Struthio camelus: one gene and its partners. The protein of the gene in region 2 purifies or fractionates together with the protein of the main gene of each other region. This does not show direct contact. Links are inferred from orthologs where the notes say so. Each region holds a gene or a part of one and is shown on either strand. Other genes may lie near its edges. The genes, in order: CNOT2, CAPZB, CNOT11 and CNOT6.

Region 1 (7,013 bases), on a different chromosome or scaffold from region 2:
GTTTCCTGACAGTAAAAATATATCTGAGACTATACTATATATCCGAGACTGAATATATCTGAGACAGAAGACACCTCCCCTCCTGTTCCCAGTATTCCCTCCTGGAAACTACAAATCCAGCAGATGAGAGGCCATCTGTGTGGATACCTTGTACTGCATTTTAACAGTAAAACACTAATGGAGCTGCACTTCCAGGGTTTCCCTTGCCAGTAGCCATCCCTGGAAATCCCCTGTAGGAGTGAAAGGATAGATGAGGACAGTGCCATGGAAACAGTTGAGCCTTTCCTTACCTTATCTAAATAAACTAGAAACTGCAGACTAACTTGCAAAAGTCAGCCTAACTATGCAAATCCTCCTCCCAAATCAAAGTATTTAGCGCTCCACTTCAGTGGAATAAATAAGAACTACGAGACACTACAGTGAGAAAATGAGGGGCCTTATTGTCTGCGCTCTTGAAAAAACAAACTCATCTTTGTGGTGAGATCTTGAATAACAGATTTGGCATAACATATGCTTTGACTTATCTTTATCCTGTGTTTTAGAAATATTCTAAAATCAAATAGGCTGTATTTATGAAAAAATCTACGTTCTTCTGAGGCAAAGATCAGTGCATAATAGTCAACAGGTGAGCACCCTACAGTCGTGCTCCAAAGACAGCAAATGGACAGTTTTGAAAATCATGCAGCAAGAAAGGTATCTGTGAGAAGCTGCTGCTCCCAGTTCACGGCGGGTCTTACACAGTTCCAAATTCTGTAGAAACCAGAAACCTCTGCCTTTTTTGGAGGCAACATTTTACTGTTTTAGCTAATCAAAGGCAGCTTGCAACTGAGGGGCAAAATCTTCTGGCTCCATCTGAGTTTCTTCTAATGCACTAACGTCAATTTGTGGAAGAGAAATATGGCCTATTTCATCACCATTGAAAAGCTGCTAATCCTTGCTCTAGGCAATTGCACTATTTGTTTTTCTTAAGGAATACTGAGGCAATCTATAGGTTGAAGAAGGAAAGACCCTTGTTGCTCTCCAATGCACTTCTTTGTTCTAATTAAAATGAATTACAAGACCAGCTATTCATCAGATTCTGCCTCCACTCATGATCTAGGATGGTGGTCTTATTATCAGGAATTTAATTTTACATTTTGGCAAGGTAGATGGAACTTCCTAACCGTGCGTGCCTCATATATACTCTGGGCAATTTGTCTTCCTCCTGCTTCTGCGACTGCGTAGTCCACATCTCTCAGTGCCACTTTGAATGGAGCCAGCTAGCATACAGAGGCTTTCTGGAGCAGGTACTAAGAAAAACTGCACAGAATTTCCAGTGATCTCACAGAGTCGCGATAACAAAGCATTTAGGGCTTCTGAGCACATCCCTCCCTCTTGTTGCCACCTTCCCAAGTTTTTTCAGGCTGCCAGTGCTCCACCCAACTGCTGTAGGCTTTTAGCTCTCTGTGGGTATCAGCATAAGCAACAGTCAGTTGGGAATACTAATGGCTAGATGAGTTTCATGGCTGCATCAAAATATGCACATTAAGGCCCCAGCCTTTCATGTAGAAAACTATGCTTTTGACTTCATCAGAACCCCATTAATACTTGACTGCATGGGCCTGCACATGCAATGAGCTGCAAGACAGGTTTTCTGTAGCTGCTGCCATCACACATTGTTCCTTCATCTGTGCTGCTGTATACAGGTTTGCAATAGGTAGTCTAACATTGATGAAAAAATTGATGCTTATCAGCCTAGTTGGTGAAATAAGTCCAAAAAAAAAAAAAAGGGAGACCTTTAATTAAATGGAATTGAAAATAAAAAATGCGTATTGGTTTGCAGACAAAGATTTGCCCAAGGAGGTCAAACTGAATATACAAGGGTCAGGTTCAAAATGGATTAGGAGCGTCCACACACAATTAGTAGCCATTTAATTAAATGAGCTCAGAACACCTCTTCAATTATGCAGGTGCCACTACGCAAAACAGGCCTCACCATTGTAGAAAAATGTATTCAGCCAATAGTAAAAGTAGCAAATGTAGGCAACACATTCCTCACAACTCAGTCTATTTATCAACCTGAGATTATTTTCAACCACTAAAATGCTAACAACTTTCACTTTCTTTAAGAAAACAAATGAGGAAGTCACATAAACACATAGTATAGTCACAGTGACAGCGTTCCACAACGAAACACACAATTTCACGGAGAAAGGCAGGTTAGATTTTTTAACTGACAGAATTTAAATCACAATTTACACAGGTTGCGATTGCTGCTTACGCTATCATATTAGGCTAAGACAATGAAAACACACTTTTTTGCATTCCCTGGCTCTGTTGAACTATATAGCCTTGCATGAATGTTAACTGACCTGCATGTGAACTGTAACTTGGTAATGGATACAGAGATCAGTCCACGCAGATGCAACGAAAACATCAGATGTTTAGTTTACTTGCATCATATTGTACTGGACATTGTAAAGTCTTAAATGATGTCTCTCTTTTGGGGAACAGAATGAAATTTAGAAAAAGAAACTCAGTTGAAGCATAAAAAGAAACATAATGGAGTAAAACTTTTACAAAAGGGATGTGCAATGGTCAGCAAGGCAGTAAGAAAAGCTTATTAAATAAGAGCAAGGATTAATGAGATTCATTATTGTCTTCAGTTTGAAAGCATAGCCTTACTGTCTGTAACGTGATATGAAGAAATATTTTTTAGATTGAACAACAAAAGTACTCCCAAATCTCATAGATATTCTAGTTAAAACAGGATGTCACTTCTGGGCTTTTATAATGGTTAGTTTATAGCAAATATACAGGTATTTGAGATACAAAGGAAAGGTTCCAAAATAAGGATAATAAAATAGAATATTTTCCTGGGTGAAGTGTATGAATATTTATTTCAATGACATGACACCTTGTAACTGTGCTCAGCAAAAAGTTGATGGCATTAATGAACCAGTTTCCTAGCTTGCAGAATGTGTTCTTTCAGCTTCAAAAATTGCTTATGTTGACAGATGTATTACTGTAGATATTAACATTTCTTTAAAACGTAGGTGTTGTGTAACCTACTGAACATACATATTTTTTTAAGTTCTGTTTGGAGACATTCATTATGAAGGTACCTGAGTGATGAAGAAAGCATGCCTATGAAGAGACTGGGGAAAAAAAAAAAACAAACCCTGTTCCTGATAAAGTATGTTCATTTTTTGGTTTGAATTTTCAAACTTTATGACGATTTCATAATGAAATTAATGCGGAAGGTTCCACTAACAGCTTTTCTTGATGGGGCAGAGAAGTCAGCTCACAACCGTAAAACACTCATGTACGGGCTTAGCTTCAGCACCGTTTACAGTCCCACTGAATTCAGGGGGATTATTTGCATTGGGAGTGTTTCGGGCATCCGCACGTGCCCTACTCGTAGCACCGACACACATACTTTCAGGGTGATAAATTAAAAAAAAAGAAAACAAAAGGACAAAATAACAGAGCAGTCCCATCTGGGCAACTTTTTTTCCCCATTTTAATATCTGGCCAAGCGCACAGGAGGGCCTGGCTGCCCGCCGCTACCTCAGCCACAGAAAAAAACCCCACCAGCTTGAGCAAAATTGGGCCCATCGGGAGGGCCGCTCCCGTCCTCGGCCCCCCTAGGCCGAGCCCCACGGCCCCGAGCCACGGCGCGGCCGGGGAGCGGGGGGGGGGGGGGGGGGGCAGCCGGCGGCCGCCCCGCACGGTCCCCCGCGGCGCCGCCATGTCCCCAGCGGCACGGGGCGGCCTTCACAAAATGGGGGCCGGCGGGGCGCCGCGGCCTACTGCCCGCCGCGGGGCCCGGCGGCGGCGGCGGCGCGGTCCCAGCCGCTGGGCCGCGTCTCCCCCGGGAGGCGGAGGGAAGCGCCGCCGCCGCGTCTCTGCCTCCTCCTCCTCCTCCTCCTCCTCCTCCTGCTGCTGCCCCCGCCCGCCGCGGCCCCCGGCCGCACCCCGCGGGGCCGCCCCGCGCCGCCTCTCCCCGCCCCTCGCGCGCGTTGCCAGGCCGGGCGGCGGCGGCGGCGGCGGCGGGGTCACGGCGGCGGCGGCGGCCGGGTCAGAGGGTAAAGGTTGCTCCCCCAGCATCCTCCGAGTTGGGATACTCAGCCATCTTGGATTCGCGGGACAAGAAAATTCATGCGGTGAGTCCGGCCCGTTTCTGCCTTTCCCTCGGCCCCCTCGCCGCGCCGCCCGCCCGCCGCCGCCGCCGCCTGGCCCCCCGCCGCCGCCGCCGCCCGCTCGCCCGCCCGCGCCGGGGCCCCGCGGCTCCGCCGCCCGCGCCGGGGCCGCGCAGGCCCGCGGCCGCCCCGCCGGGTTTCCGTTTGCTTTTGTCTCCGAGGGGGAGCGGGGGGGACGCGCGGCGCCCGCCGAGGCAGCGCAGCCCGCCGGCCCGGCTCGGCCCGGCCCGCCGCCGCCGCTGCCGCTCGGGGCCCGCCGAGGCCGCGGCTCGGCAGCGGCGGCGGCGGCGTCCGGGCCCCGCGTACCGCCGGGCCCCGCGTCTCCTGCGGCCGGCACCGCGGCCCGGGACGGCTCCCGGCCGCCGGCAGAGCCCCTCGGCCCGGCCCGGGCCTAGCCGCGGCCGCCGGCGCCCCGCCGAGCCCGCCCCGGCGTTGCGGTGCCCCCGGCGCCGCCTCCGCCGCCCCCGGCCGCGGCGCTGCGGGCGCCCACGGGCCGCGCTGCCGGGGCGCCGCTGCCGGGCGGCGCCGCTCGCCGGAGTGGCCTTGCGGCCTGCTCCCTCGGTGCCCCGGGGAGGCCCCGGCTGAGGAAAGGGGGTGAGGCGGGGATACTTCTTCCTTGTTTTCTTTCAAAAAATGTGCTTTTTAAAAAAAATTTTGTATACATTTTTATAAATATATATATATATATATTTGTGCGTGCACCCGTTTCACTCTCCTCCTGGCGGCGGTTAAGGCGATGTGTAAGGAGGCTCCGGTGTTTCCTCAACCGTGTCTGTAAAACAAACTTGGAGCGAACTGGTCCGCTGTGCCGAGCGCGGATGCTGCCGTGCTGTGCGCGGTGGTGCCTCGGTCCGGGCGCCCTGGCGTGAACCTGGCCCGGGGGCAGCGCGCAGGAGCGGCGGGCTGCGGTGGGAGAGCCCCGTTGGCGGGGAGGAGTGCGAGGCGCAGTGTTTACCCTGTCGTATATGTGTGTGCGTGTGTGTGCGCGCTTCTGACTGGAACTCTGATTTGCTTGCAAATATCACGGGTTTAGAATTTATGTTTTTTAATCACGTTACAGGTAGCTTTGTTTCAGGGAGGGTTGTAACATGACAAAACGACAACCTGCTTGTGTTGGTTGTGGCTCAGCAGCTTCCGCTTTCTCACAAGGCTGTGTTGGGAAAAACTCGTTTCTGACTTTGCGCTATTTTATCCCTATGGGAAGATGGAAACTTTATATGTGCGTATGTGTGTGCAGCTTGAGCGTGTGAAGGAAGCACTTGCGTTGGCCTGCGCAGCAGTAACATCTGGTGCTGGTGACTGGCCACTGGACTTAACTCCAGCTGGGGGGAAGCAGTTTAAGATGATCAAACCTGCTGTCACATCAGTTAGGAAAAATCTTTTTATTTCTGGAAACTGGGGTATTTTTCAAACTCCTAAAACGTGCAAAGGCCTGTAAAAGCAAGATAATTTTGTAGGTTCACATTGCAAAGATATCTTTACTTGGACCTAGAAGAACTGCTGTGTGTACATTGGTGTTCTTCAAGTTCTTTCATAATCGCATGTTAATAGAACACAGCTTGCAAAATCCAGTTTTGTGATCTTAAAGACTATGTATGTGTCCAGTACCTTTTTTTATTTTTTTTACTGCCACTATTGTTTATGCTGAGAATTCAGCTGACATGATAAACTTGAAGGTGTCAACTGCTTCAGATCTTAGGAAGGGATTTGAATACTTCATATCGTGAGCTGAGTGACTTGACTTGCAAGTGTATTTCCGTTTCACTTTCAGGAAGCTGATGATAAAGCTAAGAGAGCTTTAGTAGATAAACCTTGTCTACACGTCTCTTCTAGAAAGTTAATATTGTTGTCAAAGGAGCTGTTGTTAGAACTGATGCATGCACGGGTAGCCCCAGTAACAACTAATGAAAGCAAAAGCCCTTGGCTAAGAACTAAAAACAAAAATCCTAGAATTTGTGAAATTTAACTTGTATTTTCTTTAAATGAGTCTAATTTTAGATGATTGGTACTCAGTGGAAGAAATGGGGTAGTTAACATGTCCAAGTTTGATACTAAAAACTGGTGCCACAACTAGCTGTTTACACCTGAAAGTGTTGGTCTTTACCTTTGCCCGTTAATGAAAGTTGTGTATACCTGTAATGGAATGGTAGCTCTGATAAAGTGTTTGTGTTGTATTTGCCGAATTTCTAAATGAATTTCTGTCTAGACAGGAATTAGTTTTGAAATTAGAAAATTCGTTGCTTTTGTAGCCTCTACTGTGTTTTTATTTTTTAATTTATTTCTTGTGTTGGTGCAAGGGCCTGTCTTTTCTGAAGTTGCAAGATTGTAACTTCATTATAGTTTAAAAACAACCTTGGATCATAGCTCTATATATTTAAAAACATCTCGTACCTCCTTGTTATTATTGACTCAAGAGGTGCATGTAACTAAAAATACACCGTAATTTAGTTAAAATAGAGGTTTCTTGCACACCACTTTCTGACTTGATCTAGAAACTGTAGAGAAACATTCAATAGCTTTTGTTTTGTTATGAGGTAGTATAGAAAATGCAGCTCAGCTTCTGAGTGCAAATTTTTAACTTTTTTCAGATTTTTTCTGCTTGTAAAGCTATAGCATACTTGAATACAGATTTTAAAAGGCACTGTAAAGGATGTATTCTTAAAAAAAACTCAAATCATTGGCAAAATACTTGTCATATTTGTTGTGTTTATTTCTAAACGTTAGCTTAGAAGGGCTCTATGCCAGTTTGTATAGAGGTACAGTACCATATTCAGTCAAAAAACTTTTTGTCACAAATTTAGATGTTTGCTCTCTAAATGATAAAGGATAGTC
Region 2 (7,974 bases):
TAAGAAAATCCCTAGCTGTCCTTTTCATTAAATAGAAAAATTAATATTCAGGAAAGCCTGACAAGTTTTCTCTAGGAGCTAATTTCTAAGCACCTATGTTCTCGTAAGTATTTTTGGTCCTGGCTGAACACTGGAATAAACAAAATAAATAGCATTTCACCCTGCATGCAACACATGCAGGGGGATGAAATAAAAAGCATATCGTGTCAGACTGCAAATGCTTTATGAAGTTCTGGCTTAATGTGAAAAGTACTCGGTAATGCTAATAAAAAGTATTTATCCTTTTGCTTCCTTGAATATAATCAAATATACAGGGAAAGCATATGTATTTTATAGTTGCTGACTGCAAGATCAAAAGCTCTGTTATTAATTGCACATGAATCTGATGCTGTAGGGCTGTTAAGCCGTCAACTGACATCATTGTTTGCTTCCTTTGTTTACAGACCCTCATTTCACAGATGTATAATGCCTGACACTAAGCCCTTCCAGCACGCTCTTTTCTCTTTAGGTGGATGATCCCGTGTCATGATATGTGGGGAAATGCCTGTAAGCTGACTAGATCCAATGGAGCTGAGCTCTTGAAATCGCTCTGGAAGCGGTGGTGCAGGTCCCCTACCCCTGTTCGGCTCTCTAGAGGCTGGGAACACCAACACCTTTATGAGCCTCCCGCAGAGCACCCTGAGGCACGGATCAGAGGATGTTTTTGTTTTCCTGTGTGTTTTCCGGTTTCCTAGCAATGTGCCCCAGTAAGGACTAATCTATATGCCGCTGTATTGTAGCGAGTCCTCTTAACTCCAGAAAATATGAAGAACAAGCAGCTGAACTCTCAGAAATAATTCTCATCCCTAGTTTTCAAAATGCTGTATGAAATACAGCTGCATATAGGAGAACTCCGCTCTCTGGGCTCTGAACCTGCTGCTCAGCTGTAGGCTTGCGAGGTAACTTAGCTTTGTGACCCACTCCAGCAATTTCAGTGTTGGGATCTTCTTTTGCCTTGAAACCTGTGCAGAGTTTTTACAGCGCTGCAAAATGGATGGAAGTTGTTACTGCTCTCATTGAAAGGCAATGTGTGCTTGTTCGCCATAACAGCTATTCCAAGCGTAGGGCTATGCAGAGGCTGGGCCCCTTCTTGAGCCACTCTCCAGGCTTGAAGCTCCTGTTGCTAACAATATTTATCAGTCTTCTCTCATTTCCTATCCTGCCTTATGGTTGCTCCACAGATGGCCTCTTCAGCTGCCTTTGTAATGCATCTTTTGCGGTTTTATTGAAAATCTTATGGCTAAAGTCCATCTCTGCATTTTCTTCCCTTTTTTTTGCCTTCAGATTTCACTCACTTTGTCACAGCATCAAATCAGAATCAGACTTTTCCTCGAGCAGAGGTTTTTCAGTAACTCTGCTTCTTCCACCTGTCTTGTGGCTTTCACAGTTGTCTGGCTGTTAAAATAGGGCTGGATAAAACTTATTTCAGTTTCTGTTGTTAAAGCAAACAAACATACACACAAAACCTAGCAAAGCAGCCCTAACCCTCAAGTTATCCCAACTGAATTTACTTATGTGAAGAAAAAGCCTGCCCTGAGCAAAATAAATAGTACTGCTGCTGTCCTTATGCCAATCTAGTGCCTTTCACCTGTGCTTCTTAAAATCAATGTGCCAATTATGTTGCCGTTCCTGCTAAAGGGATTATTTTCCTTAGAGTCTGGAGTAGATTAAAGAAAAAAAAGAATACAGCATCATATACAAGGGTCATCCTACTTAGCCCTGAACTACCACCACCTCTGGAGAGGAACATAGCTAACAATGCAGTTAATAACACCGTCTCGCGACATTCACAGGTTTCTTGCATGTCTCCCACATATAGACCTGCACTGGCTTTATTTAGCTGTCAGCCCCTCCAAGAATCACAACAGAAGGTAGGATGGCTACAACCGTAGTTACAGCTGCAGAACCCTCTGCCTACTCAGACGCAGTCCGCGCTGCAAATTGCAGCCTACAAGGAAGGGTCTGGTCCTACATCTTAGTAAACAAACAAATAAAAAAAAATTCCCTTAAGCATGTCCTGCTATAAACAAGCAAAGCAAGCAGCTGGTCCTCATTTGAAAAGATGTTCCATTAATTTCAAAAGGAATCTGCAGATCTTCTTAATGCAAATATTTTTGGGAAAACAAAAAGCAGCTGTTTATTCTTCTTTATACCTATTAGCAGAAAAACGAAATCCAGAGTGCTTGTATTTCTTCCGCTAAGAAAAACATCCTCTTGGCCTCAACGTTCATTTGGATCTCAAATTGTTTAAACTACACCAGGCTGCATGATTCTTGCTCTCTTTCTTCAGCAAGAAGCTAGAAACAATTGTTGTTTCTAAGCATAAGAGCTGCTAAACTAAAAGCACAGTGATCATTGCATGCCTTATGTGAGTTTTGTGGCAAAAATCATGAGGTTTAGAACACTCATTTTCAAGTTTATATTAATGCTATCCTCCCAAGGCCCTGCCCCTGCACGTAAGATGTGTGGACCCCTGTATAACAAATGACTAATTTGTTATGTGCACAGAGCAGGCTTGCTTTTCTTAATTACTACTCATAGGCACCTCTGAGGGAACATACGGACTGAAGGATCTGGGGACTGCATAAGAGAAGCCACTTCAGATTACTGCATGTTTTAATTGGCCTCAAAGAGGCTAGGCCAACTGGTGTTGGTGAAGAAGCAGATTCAAAGAATCAAGAGCAGGAAATGCCTTCTGAGGTTATGCGGCCTATCTGCTAGGCAGGGGAAGACTGTTTCCCATTTCATGGTGTATTTGATAGTGGCTTACCGATGAATTTATGTCCCTTTGTTTTTCTGTGAAGTAATGCAGCTCCTGCTTTTCTCGAGAGATTATTTTTACTAATTGCTATCCTCTACTTGCTAGATTCATTTTGTTTCTGCACTGAGAAGAGCAGAACCAGAGGCGCGGGAGAAAAGCAGCAGTGGGCAAAGGTGAACTTAAATCAGTGGCAGCACATTGTCAGAGAGTAATCAAACTATAAAATCAAAACTTAAGACATATAGTTTGCATGAACAGTGACAGCCATTATGTGTGCATGTGGGTCGTGTCAATTTACCTACGTAACGGTTATGCCCTTAAACTAGATGATAGCTCATGCTAGCTTTCATAACTGAGTACGCATACCTCAACAGTTAACTTCTCCGGAAATTTAGCCGGACGCTTTCACCACAACAAAAACAACAAAGCTGTTTTGCCCTGAGTATGCGTCAAGTAAAACGAGCATTGTTAGAGTTTTTACTTCTTGGAAGGTCTGGTCTGGGATCTAATAGTTAAAACATTTAAGAGCTGAGCCATGAACAACTGTGATATGTTAGTGCAAAATCAGGACTTGGCCTTGGGTCATCCCCTGCCAGAAGGATGTACCACTAAATATTACATCCAAGGGAAAAATGAAGGGGTCCCCTTAAGACTACATAATTTCTATTAAAATTTCAATGCAGGAATTGCACACGCTGTCAGAGTTTCACACCCGCTCCAGGAGGATTACATCAGCGCAGGAAGCGGCGCGCGAGTCCCCTTGTCAGCAGTTCCAGTTTCCACAGCAAAAGTAAATGGAACAACAAAAGGGGCTTTGGCTCGCAAGGGCCAAGTCTGCAACGCAGCAGCCAGAAGGCACCAGTGGAGGGTTCTCAGGATGCTGGCGCTCCAGCTCTGCTGCAACCCGGGCCAAATAATTGTTCAAAAAAAAAAAAAACCCCTAGAGGAAACCGTTGCCACGTAATATATCAGCTCTTCTCCTGGGGTAACTAGTTAAGTTGCATTTGTTAACTTCACGTGTCCAAAATAATTTAGAAGGACACGTACAGAGTCTGCAATCAGGATGAGTTTTACCCAAGGTGGTTGAAAAGTGAATTAGTAGATTAGGAGGGAAAAAAACCCAATGTTGTCCTTTTGGGACAGTCTGAGAGAAGCAAAACATGTTTTATTTGTATATACACCCCGATTTGCTGATTTTTATCTCTCATTTGGCGATCTGCATCTCAGCTGCTTAAGCCTTGAAGTCATCAAAATATGTCTCTGCTTAACTCGAAGCACGTACCTACATGCTTTGCTGAATCAAAGGGTAAGCTTCCAGAGGAGGCTGAACGCTTGCCATTGCAATTAATTAACCTTGTCCTTAAGTAGCCAGAGGCTGATTTTTTTTTTCTCCTCGCAACTCACGCTACAGAGCTCAACAGTTAAGAGATGACTCTATTTTAGGCCACACAAGCAATGACGCTTATCAGGGTTACCTCTGCAAGGGCTGCTTGTCAGCTGCTTGGCGATTGGAGGAAGTGTACCTGCTCAGGCTGGCGTTTTCCATGCTAAATGTGGGCCTCGTGCTGCCTTTTTTCGTCTAATCTCAAATTAAAATCTTAAAAAACAAAAAAATCTAATCTAAAAATCTGAAAAAAGGAAGGGAAAAAAGGCAATAAAGCAGAAGGAAAAAATGAAAAAGGAATAAAGGGAAAAAGGGGAAGGAGAAGAAGGGAGAAAAAGGGAAAAAAAGGGGAAAAAAGGGGAAAAGGAGGGAAAGGGGGGGGGGGTGCAGAGGCGGACGCGGTGCTTGGCGGGGGGCCCTGCCCTGAGCGCGCCCGCGGGCTGTTGGCGCGCCCGCCGCAGGCCCCGCCCCCGAGCCCGCCCCCCGCCTCCGATTGGCCGCCCGGCCGTGCTCCCCCCCTATACCTGAGTTGGTAGCTCCCGCCGCCCCCCTCCCTCCTCCGGCCCGCCGCGCTGCTTCCCCCCCCCCCACCCCCGCCTCCCCTCGGTCCCTGCGCCCGCCGTCTCCCGCCTCGGCCTCGCTCCTCCCCGCTCAGCTTGTTCCCTCCTTCCTTCCCCCCTCCCCCCCGCGGAGGAATGGTTCCCTCCCTCCCCCGCCCCGCTGGCCCGCCGCGCTCCATACTTGGCGATGGCCGGCGAGCCGCGCGCTGATTGGCGGCGGGGCGCGGCGGGGCGGGGCGGGGCGGCGCTGACCCGGATGTTCACGCCTAAGTCCACGGCGGAAGTGACGGGCCGCGGCCTGCCTCGGAGGGAGAGCGGAAGCGACCGGGAGGCGCCGCCGCCGCCGTTGCCACAGCCCAGCGCAGCCCCGCCGAGCCGCCATGGTAAGGGCGAGGCGGCCGCCGCGGGGCCCCTTCCCCGGCGTTGCGGGGGGGGGGCTGGAGCCCCGGGGCGGCGGCGGCGGCGGCCCGCTCCGGGGAAGGCCGGTGGCGCGGGGGCGAGCGGCGGCCGTTAGGCGCGCGCGGCGGCCGTTAGGCGCGCGCGGAGGGGGAGGGGGGGGGAACCGCCGGTTCCCTCAGCGCCGTGAGGCCCCTGCCGGGACCCGCTGCCTTGCCGTCGGGCCCGGTCGAAGAGGGCCGTAGCCGGCCTCGGCAGCTGAGCGGGTCGGCTGGGGCGAAGCGGAGCCGGGCCGGGCCCTGGTGCTCGGCCGGCCCAGCCCGCGGGCGCGCAGGTTTGCTCGGAGTTACCGGCGTGTGTCCTTAATCCCGCTCGAGAACTTGCGGTTTGAGTTGTTGAACCTGGCGGCTTAGGAGTGTTCACCTGTCGTCAGATAAAAGGGGAAGAAAACCCCACTGCCCGGCTGCGTAGCAACGTGGAGACTGGTTAAGTAGGCGAGTATGCTCCTTTCCTGCTGATCTTTGGCCTTGAGAATTTCAGAGGCCATGACTTATTTATCTTCCAAGTTGGCGATGGTGATGATCCTGCCACCCGCATTATACAGGGTAAAATTTTCAGTCTCTCGTGAATGGTGAAGTGCGCCCGAGATCAAGGCTCTGCTATTCTGTTTTCGTTTGAACACGGGAGATGCTGGACCTGACCTGACCTCCGAGTGCGGAGGGTGATGGTGCTGAACACGTTGTTTCAGTTGTACGTAAAAGAAGATTCTTGACTACAATCTTCTAGATACGCAAGACGTGACTGTAGACTTTGAAATCAGGACTCTGACAAACCGTCCAAACTTTGGCTCTGGTAGAAGCCCTCATGGAGGGAAGAAAATTCAGGGAAAGCTAGTAGGCCTCGCATAGAGTGAAAGTGATGGCAAACAAGTTGTCCTCTTGAGGGGATATGAAGGCATTCTGTGAGAAGAAGAAGAATGCTACAGTTTGGATAAGAAGAATCTAGTTTGGGTTTAAGTGTAACTGTATCAGTTCTTTGGGGAGGCGGAGTACAAACCCTTTAGAAATTTTATGAGAACTGTAAGCTCGTATGCTGTCACCTGATTTTTCATGCTTAATAATGGAGAATGCTGGGTGTGGGAGAGATTTGATCAGGACTTTCAGCAGTATGTGCTTGTCTCAGTTGTTGAGTGGCCCTTGAGTATGAACGCGCTGCAGCCACTTCATTGTTCATATATCACAGTTGCTCTTTGCAGATTTGAAGACTCACTTAAAAGATGTAGTAATTTAAATGTGGTTTATTTGTCTCTAGTAGAAGCATATAAGACGAATCACTGATCACATTCGAAAAGGACAAATGATCCAAATTTAGTGTATGTTGTTAGTGGAAGCGCAGACTGAGGTTTCAAAGCTAATGTTCGTAATGTGTAACTGAAAATCTTCTAAAACTTTATAGACTCCATACAATTAACTCACATTATGCAGATAATGCAATTATACCATGTAGTACGTAGAATACTTCCAGTATCTTTATTTTTAAAGGGTATGAAAGCGCAGTCCTGAAATGCAGCACTGACATTCTGAAACGTCCCTGGCATTGAAGGCAATAGCATGTTTCATAGCAGCTGGGAGTTGTTATGGCCCAGGATATTTGGTCAAACACCTTCTTGGTACCGTGGGATTTCCGATATCTGCATGGAACAGATGGACGGGAGCCACTTCTCTTTTGCACAGTCACTCAAAAGCATCTTAAATCTGAATTGTTCTTGCTGAGTTTAAATGTAATTTCAGAAGTGCGTCAGAATTTCAGTCAGCTGCTAGGTGGAATGGGGCAGGGCAATGCGTGAAGCCTGAAATCTGTCTAGATAGATGTTGGTCTTTTGTGCTAAAAATAAGCTAGCTGGTGGACACGACTTCAGAAGGTGGAGCCGCTGAGGTTTCTGGAATTGTGGGTTACCAATGGATAAAACCCAGTCACTGTCCATGTAAATGAGGGGAGAGGGGAAAAAAAAGTCAGGGCAGTTTACATGGCCTGGAAATGATTGTGCTTATGTATTTCTTGTGCTATCCACCTCCATAGTAAAAAGCAGGCAATCTCAGTAAAATTTATAATTCAATCAACCGGAAGTTTGAATTGTCTAGTGTAGCGCTGGCTGCACATCATCCGCTTAGAATTTGCGAGGCAGCTAAAAGGCATTGAAGCACAGCCAGCGATGCATGATGTGACGCTGCCACTCAGGTACTTAATCTTGGTGTGCTGTTCAGAGTAATTAATATTTTCAAGGTAGGGGCTGTTTGTCTTGGGCAAATGCATTGCTGCTTGATAAATAACTTGGGTTTGTACAACTGCTAGTAAAACAGTATTAAATGACTTGTAAAACTGAACAGCCAAAGGTAGTACTTTTCCAGATGCCTGAACACTGAGCGCCTCTCTCTCCTGCTAAGCTAATCATGTCACTTTTGAAACCGTAGCATATAGCATAAGAGCTCGGGGTAGGTTTTCAGCGCCCACAGAAAGTCCTTTGCACCTTGTGCTTTTGGAGAAATACTGACTTAAGCTGTTTTGTAGAGTCCATGTTTTGTTAGCCAAGCCAAGCATGTGAGCTTAGCTAAATGTTATCTTAAAAGGCAAATTCCCAAAGTAATCAAGTTGAAGGATATCATTGGGATAGGGAATACTGGCATTGCAGTGATGCTTAATCTTGTGGTTTATTAGCGAAGGAAAAACGTTCTCAAGCTCAAGTTGTTCAAACAGGATTTCCTCATTTGGTAAATACATATGCTGATATCTTACTAGTTGACATCTGGGAGTAAAACAAAATGAAAGTACGTTCA
Region 3 (7,676 bases), on a different chromosome or scaffold from region 2:
CCGAATTCATTTCGGGGACAAAAAATCAAAAACAAAAATAAGCAAACAAACAACAAAATCCACTTTCCAGAGCCATGAAGCCTTACAACTTTTACGTTCCAGGAAACATGGAGAAAAATGGGACAAATCCAACACCTCAAACATCGTATTTAAGCGTTGCAACAGAAATAAGTCTGCACTGCATAAACAGCACAGCTTCATCTTGCATTTTGAATCATTAGGAGAAACGCACTGTAAATTTTTCAGAAGTCTTCAGTATTTCTGAAACATTACAAGTAGACAGTCAAGAAGCATGACAATGTTGAAATAAGAGCGAAAAGAGTCAACTTCTAAGAAAGTGGATAGAAAGAAGACATTTATTCTTGGAAGCTACAGCTCGAAGTATGAGAAAGGCAGCATAACGTTTTATCAGAAGTACAGTATTGCTATGAGTCTTTGCAAGAGTTATATAACAAAGCTAGTTATGCATGTTTACTATCTTAAGTAAACATACGAGCACATCTTACAGGGCTGCATTTTGAAAAGCACCATTAATGACTGTACTGTTTTTAAAGACGCCACTGTCTTGCACTTTAAAAAAAGGGCAGAATAAAATGCATTGAGTACCCATCCATACAACTGTGACAACCCCTCAAAGGTAGGTTAGTGTATTCAATGTTGCATTTTCAAAACATCCTGCAGTCTGGAAATCATGTCTGAGGAGAACACCAAAGAAGATTTATACACTGCAAACAAGGGACAGTATAACAGAGCATAAGAAAACAGTGACTGATCCTGCAAAAAGCGATGAGATCAAAATACAACGGTGGGACTGAGAAAGCCTAGTCAGTGCATAATTCAGAGAGGTGAACCACATTATATAGATAAAGAACCAGGAGGATCAGTTTTCAGGTGAGTAAACCCATTTGCACATAACTGGGGAAAAAAAAACCCACTAATTTTTGCTGTCTAGACTGGCTCCTCGTCCCCCACAATATTTTCTATTTCAGATTACGTCCAGAAGACGAAACGATCAGAACAATCATGCTCCTTTCTCCTGTCAAAGGATAAGCATTACTTTGCTTTTCTTTTCAACCTAGCAAAAGCAGACCGTGCTCCCAGTCTCGAGCTCACACTTGAAAATCTGACTATTTCATAAAACTGGAGATGCAATTGTAATAGCCAATCTGCCAGCTGCAGCTGAAATACTGCTATGTGACAGTTATCCTATGTTCTTTCATACTAGAACTACTGCAGAGAGTGAAAAGAGATGAAAACATTCATGGAAAGAAAAGAAACAACGCTTTAGATGAAAATACTTTTATACTTGTGAAAATATCTTATTTTTAAGGCAGTGAGGACTTCTGCGCGTAGGAAATTGCTTTTTTAAGTAGAAACCTCAAGCACAGATTGCTTTATCCTATTACTCAAAACCACTGCTGAACCTTTTTAATATTTAGGATAGGCAAGAATGTTTCCCAAGTAGCTCACAGGCAAATTATAATTAACAGTTGAATTCTAATTGAACCATGGCACACTGCGGTTCTTCCTTACCTGCTAAGGCTAGCTGAAGGCCGCTTATATCCACTGACTGGGCCATGTTCCCTACATCCATTGAAGCAATCTGCCGAGGAGTCTTCTTGAAGAGCTCTCTTGGGGGGGCCAACATCAGTTGAGACAGAAAGAACTTTTCTGGAGGAGTTATGGGAGGTAAAAAGCCTATGAAGACACAAGGAAAAATAATCCCTGACTGTTAGGCCAGCCACATTAGTACTTTCAATAGTCTTCACGGAGAAGCAGCAAACAAAAACAGAACACAAACTACTGTATGATTTATGCTGACATCAGTGCAACTGAAAAGTCTTTGTAAATACACACAAAACCTGTATCTACTCAGCTCCTAAGGTAAAATTCAACATTATACCTACTGGTTCTTAAACACAAAAGTAATCTAAAAGCAGAACATGCTGACATGCAACACCTAACACTAAGTCAGTCATAAGTTTAGACTAAGTAAGTTTAGATAAGTTTACATAAATAATGAGCTATAAAACATGACATGATATGCACCGCCATTTATACAGAAAGTAAACCAAGAAAAAATTTAGGAAGTGATTTACCCATCACTGTCATGCATGTATTTACTGCTGGGGGAAACTGTATCACATATAGGGTTCCACGTATTTCATTACAAAGTTTGTTTCACCGCTTTTAAGAAGCTGTTGAGAAACTCCTATTACCTTCACGACTTTTGTAAAAGCTTACTCACGAAAGCTCCGTTTTACGGTCCAGTCAAGCAAGCTCTGCCAGACCAGGCCGCACGGGCACGGCAACGCTTTAGCCATGAAAAAGCGCCACCGTTTTGCACTCCCCGCCACCCCCGGACGGGAACGCCTGCCGCTCTCCGAAAGCCTCGAGAAGCGCTACGGAGGGCAAACGGCCAGGCGGCTCCCAGCGCCTCAGCCCGCCGCCGGGGGGGGGGGGGGGGCTGCCCCCCAGCAGCGCGGCCGGGCACCAGCCGCTGCCCCCCGGCCCAGCACCCCCCCCCCGCTCCTCCCCACTCCCCGGGACGCACCGGAGAGCGGCGTGCGCTCGGCCTCGTCGCCGCCGCGCTCGGGCGCGGGGTTGAGGAGGTGGGCGAAGACGGCGGCGAAGGGGTTGGCGGCCAGGGGCTCGGTGCGGTACATCTCCCAGAGGAGGTAGAGGGCGGTGAGGCGCTGCGCGGGGCTGGGCAGCAGGTCGGGCTGCTGCAGGAGCAGGACGAGGACGGAGCCGAGGCGGAAGTGCTCGGCCTTGCCGAAGTAGTGGTGGAAGGCGCTGGAGAGGCCCTCGAAGGTGCTGCCGCCCGCCTCCTCCGACACGATGCTCAGCAGGCTCGACAGCTCCTTCGGCGACAGGCTCATCCTGCCGCCCGCCGCCGCCGGGCCGCCGCCCGCCCCCGCCGCGCCGCCGGGCTCCTCGGCTCCCACCTGAGTGCAGGGCGCCGGGCTACTGCTGCCGCCGCCGCCACCGGGCATCCGCGCCCCCGCCCCGCCCCGCGCAACGGCCACCGGCCCCGCTGCGCCCCGCGGCCGCAACGCCGTGCCGGCACCGCTTTACGGCGCTGCCGTAAAGGCAGTGCGGGGCCGCAACGGAGCGGGAGGGCGGGAGGGAGACTCCGGCTTGGCGCGGGGCGGGCAGGCGAGCGAGCACAGGGCGCCACACGCGCGCGCGATCGACCCCGGCGATTGGCCGCCTGCACGTCCCCGTGGAAAGCGATTGGCCGGCGCCGCGAAGCGGGGAGAGGGGGCGGGGAGATTGGCCCTGGCTGCGCGGCTCCGCGTGCTGCCATTGGTCCGCGCCGGGGAGGGGGTGGGGCCGGAGCGCGCCGGCGGCTGGCAGCGCGCGGCCGTTGGGGCGGGCCGGCAGGGGGAGCCCGGCGGCAGCCAGCCGCGGGGGGGCCGCTCTGCGCGTGCGCGGGGGCGGCGGGCCTGTGCGGGGCGGGCGGGGGCGTTTTTCTCCCTTCCCTTAGTTTTCCTCCTTTCCCTTTTTTTTTTTTTTTTTTTTTAATTAGAGGAGAGCAACAATCCCAGTGTAAGGTGCATGGGGAGCTGCTCGGCTTCCTGGTGGCCTGCTGGACAGACCTCCAGGGAGATAACTGCGACTAGAACCCACACAGCAGGGTGGCTGTCATACAGCGATCTGAAGAAATGAGGTGCTGTTCAGGAGGAAGCAAAATGGTTGACCTGTAGCTGCATCTGTAGCTCTCTCCATCTTTGCCTGTCCCTGCTGAGAGGTAGATTTAGCATTGTTTTCTTGGCTGAGGAGAATCAATCACAACTGCTTTTAACAGCAGAGCTATTAGGTGATTGATTGCATTTTCTTATGATATCCTTCAGTTAAGATCACTGACTCATCCGAGTTGCTTTCTGAAACAACAGATGAAACTTCCAGCCCAAATGTCTTCTCATGTCATAACCCAGAGTGGGAGCAAGGGCACGTGCCTGACACGTGGACAAATGTGTTGTGAAAGGTTGCGTGTCTGAGGAAGAGTGACAGAGAAGAACAGAGAAGCCAGGGCCGTGCGTCAGTGAACAGCCAAGGCAACCTTGCCAATTCCTGCTGTTGAAACGTGCTTATTCTCGCTGTCCACTTTTGTCCTGCCCAAAGGCGATCCTGGAGCTGGGGCTCATCTGTTTCTTCCATGAGCTGATTCAACTGGAAACTATCCACTGAAGGGTTTCTTGCAAGACCTGAAGGCCAGTGGAGCTGCAGTAGGGTGTGACTGGAAGAAAGGGAGAAAGATCTATTTCATCAGCTTACCCTGTGGAACTGCATCTTGAGATCGACAGCAGCCCACAGACAGACCAAGCACAGCCTGAAGAAGTGCTGATAATAGTTGAACGAATGTTAGCCATGTGGAAGACGGTCTTCTGAAAGCCTTGTTGGTATAGTGCCTGTTCACTGACTAGATCACTGTGAGAAATCTGCTTGCAAAATACACAGGCTAAACGAGTAAAGGAGATGGAAGAGGAGGCTGGTGAACTTGCTGTCTTGGCCCAGAGTATATTCTAGGAAACAAGGAGTCTTGGAAGTTGGGGCAGTTTGGAACTTACTAACAGCTACAGCAAGGACTTAAATTGTAAGATTTGGGAGGAAGATCAAAGGACTGCAAACTGCTGAAGGAAGTCATCTATGTAGGTGTACGGTGAGGCTAGCAGGACCGTAAACCTGGGAAAGTTTAGACATGTAGGAGAGCTTTTCTGCCTTACTTGTGATACATAGAGGAGGTTGATTACCCCCACTGAAATAATGTGAAAGCTCGGTAGTTAGGAGAGGAAGGTTCCTCAGAACTCAGATGGCTTTCTGGAAAAATAGGTGGAAAGGATGAACTTCTGCACCTGGCTTGAACACTCAGTCTTTGAGGAGACATTTCAGCTTACAAAGAAACTGAGGATATGCAGAAGAGACCAACTTTATCTTCCCCTCTGACCCACCAGCACTCATCTATAGAGGAATTACTGCAGTACTCTGTTCTTGTCGGGGAAAGATTTTTTGGTTTTGTGGGATTAAAGAACCATTGTTCACTGGGGAGGTGAAACAATCTCAGTGGTCTGCAGAGTGGAAGAGGCCCTAGTGGCTGTTCCTCTTTCTCTTTGAAACAGCTATACAGACGAGGGAATCTGGTTTGATACAGGGATATAAAAGACTTGGGAGAGTGGTAGCTTATTACAGCAAAACTAGGTTTTCTTGATAGGAGGTACTGGACTAAATGAAGGAGACTTGTATGAGTAGCTGTGGCTAGAAACGTCCATCATTGTGCACAAAAACAGTGAGGTTCATAACGTTCATTGAGCTCAGTGCCCTCTCCATGACTGCTAGTAGAAGCTTAAAGAAAGGGTGTAACAGGGAAAGCACAGAGTGACACTTCCCCCTGTGTACTCTCAGCTTCTGGCCATCTGCAGCTTAGAGACTTCCTGAGTCAAAGGTTGAATCCTCATCACTGTGATTAGTGAAATGGAACTTTCTTTCATGAGCTTGTCTTACGTGTTTTTTGAGCCTGTTTATATTTCATCCATAAAACTCTGTGACACCGCCAACCTATGGCAATGAGCGTGGCAATTTAAGACCCCTTCTGTCCAAAACAGTACTTCCTTCTCCACTCTCTTCGTCACTCATCATTCTGTACATCTCTTACTTATCTTACCTCAGGTGTTCTCTTTCTAGGCTAGATGTCTCATTTGTTTAATGTCCTCTTCTGTAGCATCTATTCCATAGTTCTGTCATCCTTATTGCCCTTCTATCCTGCTTTTCTACTTCTGGTATATCCTTTTTTTGAGTAGTGAGAACCAAACTTGCATCCAGTGTTCCACCTGTGAGTGTCCCGTAGATCTGTAGGTTTACACACCTTTATGTAATGAGACCTGTTTTGTTCTCTGTTGCTTTTCCAGTAATGCCTAGTATGCTGTTTGCTGTTTTGACCAGTGAGGGTTGAGCTGACACTATCAAAGAACTGTCTTCAATGACTCCAGGTTATCTTTCCTCAGCGGCAATAGCTGGCTGGGTAGCACTGAACTCTACAAAAGGGAAGGATTCCTTCCCTTTCCACCCCACCCTCGCTGCAGTATTTTACATTTATCAAATATTTGATTTCATCACCATTCCACTTAGTCATTCAATATTATGAAAATCTCCTGCAGTAGTTTCCCATGAGTTTGACAATCCTGAATGATTTTGTCTCACTGGGAATCTTTGAGCAGCTGCAGCATGTACCCAGGAAGAGTGCATCATCAGTCCCTTTATGTACACACATGGAGGTTAATCCTCAATGTCTCACCTCTCTGGGCACGTTTCTGTTCATTGCTGTAGTTTCCTGCAATGTGTACAGAAATTGGACTTGGTGGTTTGTAGTTTGTTGGATTATCTGCATGACCTTTTTAAAGATTGATGTGACATTTGCCACCCTTCTTTCTTTGATACTGAGACCATTTTGATCAGCAGGTACACCCACAGTTCATAGGTTATCATCTTCATCCTTCAGCTGGTATAAATCTCTTGAGTGAATCCCATCTGCCACTGGTGATAAATAATATCTCATTTTAGGCAATTAGGTTCACTTCTTTTACTAACACTGCAGAGTAAGACAGTTCTCTTGACTTGTACCCCGTCAGTAAAGGTTCTTGTGTGGGAACGTCTCCCAGATCTCATGTAGAGATGCAAAGAATTAATTTGGCTTTTCTCTTAAAACCTTTTCCCCTCAGTGTTTTTTTATATCTTGCTCATCTCTTGGATTCACAGACTCTCCAGATTTTCTGCCTTTGGTGTGCGAGCAAAAGTCATTTTTTGTTCATTTTTGGGACGAAGTTTGTTGTTAGGGATGATGACGCCTATATCTGTGGCTCACGCTGAAGGACACTTTGCTGGATGCTGTCTCACAGTTGAATAGAACTGTGGTGCTTCTGTCCAGATGGTCTTTTTTGTACAGCCTACTTCTTAATAACAAACTCTGCTGAAGACAGCAGAGCAAAAGATTTGTTGCAAGAGGAACAAACATGTTTAGAAAGAGAAAGCTTCTTCCTATAATTTGCAGAAATGTAAGTCACTCTTGTATAGCATATTTACTGGAGTAATGGATGTAGATTTGCAGAAATGGACTTCAGAGCAATAAAAAGTTTCCCCGGGTGACTGAGATAGCAAAAAAACCTGTGTGACTCATATGTGGCTAATGAAGCCATCTTAAATTATTCTATCCAAATGAAAAGGTTTCTGATCAGAGCAGGAAAGCTAACAGTTTAGAAGATGGAATACTTTATAGGAAGTGGGATGGGCAGCAAGCATCAGTTGACAAAGTAGATAATGAAGTCCTCATGACTTTTAAAGCAGATGTCCGTTTTGCGGGAGCAAAAATCTTAGCCTAAGAAAAAGATGGGGGTAAAATGCTACTGGGACGGGAAGTATAGTAAATGTGCTACAAAAGAGGGTTTCCATAACTGCACAAGGTGCTATGTTTTGTGAGCATATTGAGCATACGCGTTTTGTGAGCGTATTGCTGCTGATGTTCTCAGGCTTGAAACTTGTGCAAGGAAGAACCAAGAGAATGTGATGCTAGCGGAGGCTCAAATGAATGAATTCTCGCCCAGATATGACTTCTAAAAGGCACCACATTACTCTCAAGGGGGAGATTTGGGACGCCAGCTATTTCAGTGGGTTTATATTCC
Region 4 (7,780 bases), on a different chromosome or scaffold from region 2:
TTAACAATTCCAAGTCAGCTTCGTAAATGTGTTCAGATGTTAACAGTTGATTGGGATGAGTAAGAACCATGGGATTTTTTAGATCTATTGCTTTACTACTGCAGTATAACCCAAATGGACACACTAGAAAATGTTAACGACTAAATGTTCCTCTAGTCCTGCAAGCTTAAGGAAGAGAATAAGATTCAACATGCATTTTAAACTGCTATAGTCCTGATAATGAATCAAATATCTAAGTAATTATACCAGTCATTTAAACACAGTATACAAATATCTTGGGTGGTGGTAGAGCTCAGCATTAGTATCCCTAACTGACAAAAAGGAGTTAGAAATCCCTCTCTTATTACGGATGTCTTAATATTAAAAGCAGATATTTCTAGAAAGAAATAGCTGAAAGCTTTTTGTCATGTTCAATTTCTTCTTAAGTATTTAGGCAACTTTTGTATAAATACAAACATATGTAATAAAGTAATGCTAGGGTTGCAAAGCTAAGTACCTACAAACTATGGCATCCCAGGATTCAAATTCTTTAATTCAGCTCTACTGTGAATATGCGTAAGGGCAGTTTTCAATTATCTTTTCACACACAAGTCTTCTGGAAGCCGCCTCACTCCATTCTGTCCAGAGGAAACCAGGAATATTAATCTCCTCAATGCTTTTTGTATGGGGCTTTCCTATACTTTTAATGCTCAATAAACATCAAAGATTAATCTTTACCATCCCACTATGACAACAGATGCTATTATGTTCACTTGATAAATGGAGAACAGGCCATAAAACTAAAGGCTGAAATCATGAAGCGTGCAGTGATTCTAGATGTCCGATGTGAGCGCCCCAAGACCTAATTTTTCAGAGTATCTGTGTTTGCAGCAACGTCCCATGTCCAGAGCAGTGATCCCACTGATCTCCACTGCCTTGGAAGCTTCTCTGCAAGTCAGACCCTGGTCTCTCTACCTGGATATACTGAAAATGTAGAAGATCAGGCTTTAAGTGATCTCTGCCCTCCTGTCTGGGATCCCTCACCTGCTTCATTCACTCCCTTCCTTCCTCCTCATTATCCATCCTGCTTCACTGCAATGCTGCTCTCTTTCTTCTCTGCTCCATTTCTCATCCCCGTACATTGCAGTTACTCTGCTCCTCTGTCTTCACATTTCCCAGACACAAAGTGGGAGTGCAGCCAGCACAGAAAGTCTCCTTGTTCACCTCTTCCGTAACCAAAACCGTAAGAGCTTTCCCAAGCCAGGACAGCTCTGAGCTTGTTTTCTTTCAGGATGGGGAGATGCCTCCTGCGTTCGCTCATCCCATATGAGTCACAAAGGATGAAGGACTCTGTCTTTTACTTCAAAGAATTTAGAAGTCAAGCAAGTCTTTACTGAGTCAAGCAAGTCTGTATTTCAAATGATTCTAACTTTACCAAATTTGGCCATTTAAACAAGGGCAAAAGCAAAACGTACCATAACTCTGCCACAAAGGCAATTCTTTACCACAAGTTTCACATCCCTCTGTCAATGCATAGAGGCAATAGGTTCTCAAAACAGCTGTAATTATTTGCAACGTGGACAATTACCTTCCCCACCCCCCTCTCCTCCACACTCCCCAGCTCCTACCTTGAATAAATGCATGAGGAGGGAAGATGACAGAGAGAGTGGGCTGCTAGCAGTTTTTGAGCTAGGTCACAGCAAATGCTTATAGCTCCAGGTGTAAGATCAGAAAGACTGTAGGACATACACCTTTGTCTAGTGGGACACTTGCTTGTGTGCCACAAGCTAGGTTTGGCCTAAAGGCGGCCGCTCAAAGACTCCCATTCCACAGCACAAACATGTATTTATGTACTATTTAATTTATGAATGAAAACTTAAGCTCAGACTATTTTGAATTTAACTTTTCTGCACTCATTTGACTCTCTTTAACAACAGTACTGGCCTGAGCTCAGGACAAGCACGCTCCATGTGACACTGCAGCTCCTGAGATGTATGGAAACTCTCACGGGCAGGTAAAAGATTAATGGGAATGGCTCTCTTTTGATTGATGAATCTGTGACCTTGAGCAACAAGAGCGCTTGCATAAAGTATATCTGCCATGTGAGACAGACAAAATGAAAGAGGCTCGTATTACACTCTCAGATCTCATTAAGCACCCAGACCAGAAACACTAATACTGGCACTAGCCATCTGCTGCAGTGTTTGCCTGGTTACAGTTCTGATGACACTTAACGTGAAGCAAAAGTTAATTGTATGCACAGATGAGCAACAGTGCTTCTGCACAGGAAATTCACTGTAGCATAACGGTTTCTAAAAAAACCACATGCGTGTTTTTACTTCATTCTGTTTTTTTTTCAAATCACATAATCAAATTGACTGTTCAAACAAAACTTATTGACATAAAAGGCCATAACTTTAGACTCTTCAAATATTGCTGCTTTTTTATAAATAACCTCTAAAGTTACCAGAAAGTCAATTTGCCCAATTGCTGTGATCACCTGTTGATTTATATAATAGACAATACTACAGAATTATTTTGTGAGCGCTCTTAAATGATTTCCTCTGATGCTCTCTTTTTTGCTTATCTCAATTACTTGAGAATTACTAGTATTTTCTGCCATTTGGTCTCCATTTGCAATGATGAAGGCCCTTGCCGGTAGACCTTTCCAAGTCTACTGTAATATTATCCCAGTACCCATCCCCAAGGAATGAATTTTCCCTGCAAATTTTGAAAGACTTACGATCAGCTGAGTGTTCTTTGTTGAGAAGCAATTCCTGGAAAATTCTGCAATGCATTCAAAGACTTTACTACTGCTTTTGGAGAATTAACTCTAGGCAAAATGATATAGTCGATTGAGGCCATATCTGACCTAGAAAGTATTAACTGAAGAATGTGGGTGACAGCTGGTTATCAGAAATAAAACATATATAGTAAAAGAGAATGACACATAGAGCTACTTGAGCTAGCTCTAAACGACTGTCAGCTCTACAGGAGCCAGCTTCAGCCCTGGAAGCAGATCCAGCACTTCTGCCAGAACAGGCGCTACGTCCAGTAACGGAGCCAGCTCAGATGTCTTCAAAACCCTACTGCATCATGCAGCATGGAGACATTTCAACATCCGAGAATTTCAGATACGTGACCTGAGCAGGCTGGGCAGAAATCTGAGGTATAGCATGTTATTTAAAGCACCAAGGGAGTAAACTTTTCAGCTGCGTCCATTTTATGACCACGCCTGGTACACCGCGTGGGGTCATTCTTTGCAAAGTGCTTCTTTTGCTGGCCATTGTCGGTGCTGCGCAGGAGCAAGATGAGGTAGTCTCCATTTTTCAACTAGATTAGAAGAGAATGGCCTGTTCCACAACTATGTAAGTGCCGTTTATTTTCACTTACATACCCAGTTATACCTAAACAGATGAAGCTTCAGTTCTTTTTAGCCTTCCTATTTCAGAAATAGGTTGCATTTCTGTGATAACGTTTTTTGCTTACTATCCCTCTTGACTAGATGGGGCACGTTGAGCGCGCTAGCAATTTTCTGTCTCAACATCGCTTGGACGTTTTAACTTTATGATAATCAAGGGAAATCCACTCCATTTTGAGACCATTATTTGCAATTTTGGCCAATGCTACCCCACTGATTTTTTGATTTCACTGATTCTTTGTTCCCCACATCTCTTACCTTCGCATCTCTTGTCTTACGGTAAAATCTTTTGGCACAGTGGCGGTAATAACAACACCTAACAACAACGTCCTTTATTTTTCCAAATATCTCGGTATACCTCCACTAACTGGTTCAAACACGAAATTAAGGAGACCTAACCTGCATTTCACACAGGGTGCCGATGGTGACTCTGGTTGCCATTTTACCGTAAACATCGCCCATGCAAACGTCAGCAGCAAACGATCCAGGGCACTATTTTGTTATTGAAGACACTCACATATAAAAGACATCGCCCTTCATAAAAAGCACATTTTGTCTGAGCACGCATACTGCACGTTCGGGTTCTTAGTGATTCTTATCTACACGCAGAGGAATTTGAAGTTGTTAAAATACACGATTATTTTAATTAGGCTTCCTGGACTTGCGCTAGAAGCTGTTTCACTGCTTTACACCCTTCACACCGGCCTAATATTTGAAACATAGAGGAAACGTTCCTCTCCCGCCTCCCCCGGCCCGGCGCGGGCCCGCGCGGAGGGCGCCTCTGCGGGGCCAGACACGCTTCCCCCCCCCCCAGCACCCCCGTTTCTGCCCGGATCTCCCCCAAACGCGGCTGCGGCCACCCCCGCTGCTGGTTTCCCCCCACCCTCCATTTGCCAGCCCGCCCGGTCTCCCCGCCGCCGGGGCTCCAACGCCGACTCCGCCATCTCGCTCCCCCCCGCCGCGGCCCGGGCCCTGCGCGGCGGCGCCGGCGGCGGCGGCGGGGCCCGGCGCGGCCAATGGCGCGGGCTGTGGGCGGCGGCGGCGGCGGGCGGGGCGGAGGGAGGCAGGGCCGGAGGAGGCAGGGCCGGCCCGCCCGCCGCCGCCGCCGCCGCTACCGCCACCACCACAACCACCACCAGCAGCAGCACCGCCATGATGCTTGTTTGCTTTCAATGAGTGCGAGGAGGAGGCGGGGGGGGGCTGCTCTGCCGTCCGGCCCGCGGCAGGAAACAAAGAGCCAGGCAGGCGGCGGAGAGAGGGCGGCGGGGCGACGGGGATGCTGCAGCCACAGGTAGGGGCCGCCCCCGCGGCCTCGGGGCGGGGGGCGCTGTGGCGGGGAGGAGTATTAATGCCGGGCCGGGGGGCGGGGGGGGGCACGGCCGCTGGTGGGGGAAGGGAGGAGCGCTGTTATGGCGAGCGGGGAGCGCTGCCCGGCGGGGGCTGCCGGGGGTGGAGGTAGGGCGGGGGTTGGACCTCCTCGGAGTTTGGAGGGGGCGGTGGGAGTTAGTTGGTAGGGGGAGGTTCCCCCCCCACCCCCACCACCGGGCTGAGGGGGGTGTCAGCGCCGTGGGCCGGGGCCGTTGCGGCCGCGCAGGCCCCTCCCGGCGCGGCGCTGGGGGAAGGGGCCGCGGGCCCGGCGGGGGTGCGGCGCGGCGCTGGGGGAAGGGGCTGCGCGGCCGCGGGCGGCGCTGGCGGCAGCGCGCTGCCTCCGCCGGGGGCGGCTGCTGCTGCCGCCGCGGGCAGGGCCGGGCCGGGCCCCCGTGCGGGGCGGGGGGTCCCGCCGCCAACCGGCGGTGGCGGGCAGGTAAACACCGATGTGGCGGGTGAGCGTGCAGGGCGCAGGGGAAGCGGGGAAGCTGCCGGGCGTATCGGCCCGGGGAAGGCAATTAAGAGGAATTAGCCTAATGACATCTGGAAGCGTGAAGTTTTGTTTTTTTTTTTTAAACTGTGCAGTTGAGTTTAAAATAATTAAACAAAGACAGGGAGAAAGGTGTGTGTTGGGGGGGGGGGGGAATGACATCAATGTGACAATCGCCCGTCTGCGCTCCGAGCGCAGTTTCCCCCTTCCCGAGAGGGACCGATGGGTCTCAGCCGCGGCGGTGCCCGGCGCTGCTCGGGGCGCGGCTGGGGCCGGCGCTGGCTGGCGGCGGCGGGCAGCGGCCTAGCTGGCGGCGGGGAGGCCGGAGCGGCCCTGGCAGCGCTCGGCGAAGGGGAAGACGGCCGAGGTTGGGGGGGGGGGGGCGTGACGGACGGCGCGGCCGGCCAATGAGGGCAGGCGGGGGGCGGGACTTGCGCGGCCACGTGAGGCCGGGGGACAGACGCATGCAGGGGTAAACAGAGGGGAATTGGGACAGCGGCCCCAAAAGGGGCTTGTTTGTCCGCGGCGCCGCGGGAAGGGGGGCGTCCGCTGGCAGCCGTGGGAGGTATCCAAACGCGTCGGGCTGCAGCGCTCTTGAAGAGGCCATTATTCTTTAATTGAGCTAATTAGGGGAGGAATTTTTACTGCGTTCGTTAGTCCCCGTGCACCTGTCCGGCAGTCTAAAAAAATCTGAGCTGAATGTGAGGCTTTTTGTGCTGCCTGCGCTCTCGGAGCGTGAAGCAATGCGGTAGGAGTTCCCGGGGTCCCTCTGCCGGGGCTGCCTTCCCCCCCTTTACCCTGTCATAGAAAATGTTAAGTCTGGGGCCATACAAGACTTTTAAAAACTGCATTTCTGTGCCTCTGTGTTGCAGACACGGTTCACCAGGAGCTTTTCCACGAATGTTAAAGAGTCATACAAAGCTTACTTTGCTTTTTGCAGTGTAAGAAATGCATTCAGAGCAGACACAGTAAAACAGGGTTGTATTTTTTTAATAAACATCTGTATTTCTGCAGATGCACAAAGAATTGCATTACTGGAAATATAAGCGCATAGGCAGGCGTTTGCTTTGCGACTAGCAAGTCTTCTGGGTTTGGGTTCTTTTTTTTTTTTTTTTTGAGGGTTATTTTCTCAGTCTAGATTTTGCCACGATGGGTAACTAATTCAAAATACAAGGGATTCAGAAATAGCTGTGGCATTTGTCTGGCTTAAATATGAGGATATACAAGTGTTGACTGGTAATTGTTTTGTATCTTGCACTTTTTTTTTTTCTTCATTCTAGAGCAGGTCTCGTAATTGGGAATTTATCAACATTTCCACTGGGGTAATTTTACAGGATTATCCACCCTCTGTTCTTCCTGCTGGTTCATCTGGACTCTGTGGAGTTTGCTGCTAGCAAAGAAGCCTTCTGTGGGGGTTTATTCATGCTATTACTGAAATGGAGCCCTTCACGTTTGGATTAACTCTTTATTCACTTTGCACCTGAATCGCTTGGATCGGTCCATTTTATTAAAAGGATACTACCATGCATCTCTTTTCTGTTTGCATATTGAAGTTGAACTCTGAGCGCAGTCTTGATGTGTTCAGGCTGTTTACTGTGCTTGAATTTTAGAGGAAGAACTGAAATATAAAGATAGATGAGACTGTAATACTGCATGGGCAGGTAAATACTCTTGACGTTTTACATATGAAGACTTAAAAACATGTCACAAAGGGTCACAAATCGAATGAGTGTGGTACCCGTAGAAATAAAAAATGTTAAGGTCAGGCTGTTCTGGATATTAGGAAGACTTGCTCTTCTAAACAAGTGCAGTGTTCATAATGGAAGAGGCTATCCTTGAAAAGGGGTAGATGCTCCCAAGGGTGAACAAACTAAAAATTCTTTCCCAACTCAACAACAAAAGCATCCCTTTTATAAAGCATGGCAGCGAAAATAAAAATGGGCTGTATTCTATCAGTAGGAATGCCAAAAAGCTAAGTGTTTTTGTTTGTAGTGCAATGTAGCTTATTATATGGATTACCAGCGTGCCTAGGAGGCCAGGTGGTGAACCTGAATTCCTCGTTCCGGTTGCGTAGCCCCTGCTGCAGAGGCTGTAGGCCTACTTCTTCTGTTTACCAGCAGACTATTGAAATTCAAATTTTTCTCTTGTTCTGTCATGTAATTGTGGCTGAACGTGTGTGTATGTGCAGTTTGTAACACACCGTCCCTGGTCCAAAGGGGGCTAATTTAAGTGAAGGGTGTACCTAGACGGTATTTTCATGAATGAAATATACTTTTAGTCTTTAGAATCTAGTTGCATATTTTACAAGAATTGATAGTTAACCCGATATTACTTTTGCTAGGAGAAATGTACAGTGCCCAGAGGTAATAATTATGTATGAGCTTGGAAAAGTAACACAGACCTTAAAATCCCAGAAGAGCAATCTCTGCAGACCCTACATTTCGTTTCTAGTCCTAGCTACACGAGAGAGAGGTTGACTCTTGCCCTGTGGCATACAATGTGCCTTGGTTTTTTTTATCTGT

What was found.
Region 1: the proteins of CAPZB (region 2) and CNOT2 purify together in Homo sapiens (co-immunoprecipitation; 4 studies listed by BioGRID and IntAct, with this or other methods). This does not show direct contact. The link is inferred for Struthio camelus from reciprocal best matches to the Homo sapiens genes CAPZB and CNOT2.
Region 3: the proteins of CAPZB (region 2) and CNOT11 purify together in Homo sapiens (co-immunoprecipitation; 3 studies listed by BioGRID and IntAct, with this or other methods). This does not show direct contact. The link is inferred for Struthio camelus from reciprocal best matches to the Homo sapiens genes CAPZB and CNOT11.
Region 4: the proteins of CAPZB (region 2) and CNOT6 purify together in Homo sapiens (co-immunoprecipitation; 3 studies listed by BioGRID and IntAct, with this or other methods). This does not show direct contact. The link is inferred for Struthio camelus from reciprocal best matches to the Homo sapiens genes CAPZB and CNOT6.

What each region holds. Positions count from the first base shown.
Region 1 is NC_090942.1:41,015,893-41,022,905, forward strand, and holds the start of CNOT2 (CCR4-NOT transcription complex subunit 2), read left to right. Parts: upstream 1-4,006; 5' UTR 4,007-4,145; intron 4,146-7,013. UniProt on the Homo sapiens protein: Component of the CCR4-NOT complex which is one of the major cellular mRNA deadenylases and is linked to various cellular processes including bulk mRNA degradation, miRNA-mediated repression, translational repression during translational initiation and general transcription regulation.
Region 2 is NC_090962.1:12,918,941-12,926,914, forward strand, and holds the start of CAPZB (F-actin-capping protein subunit beta), read left to right. Parts: upstream 1-4,956; 5' UTR 4,957-5,124; coding exon 5,125-5,127; intron 5,128-7,974. UniProt on the Homo sapiens protein: F-actin-capping proteins bind in a Ca(2+)-independent manner to the fast growing ends of actin filaments (barbed end) thereby blocking the exchange of subunits at these ends.
Region 3 is NC_090942.1:152,289,811-152,297,486, reverse strand, and holds the start of CNOT11 (CCR4-NOT transcription complex subunit 11), read right to left. Parts: upstream 3,011-7,676; 5' UTR 2,997-3,010; coding exon 2,555-2,996; intron 1,699-2,554; coding exon 1,534-1,698; intron 1-1,533. UniProt on the Homo sapiens protein: Component of the CCR4-NOT complex which is one of the major cellular mRNA deadenylases and is linked to various cellular processes including bulk mRNA degradation, miRNA-mediated repression, translational repression during translational initiation and general transcription regulation.
Region 4 is NC_090954.1:6,505,558-6,513,337, forward strand, and holds the start of CNOT6 (CCR4-NOT transcription complex subunit 6), read left to right. Parts: upstream 1-4,775; 5' UTR 4,776-4,809; coding exon 4,810-4,855; intron 4,856-6,230; exon of another isoform or gene 6,231-6,919; intron 6,920-7,780. UniProt on the Homo sapiens protein: Poly(A) nuclease with 3'-5' RNase activity.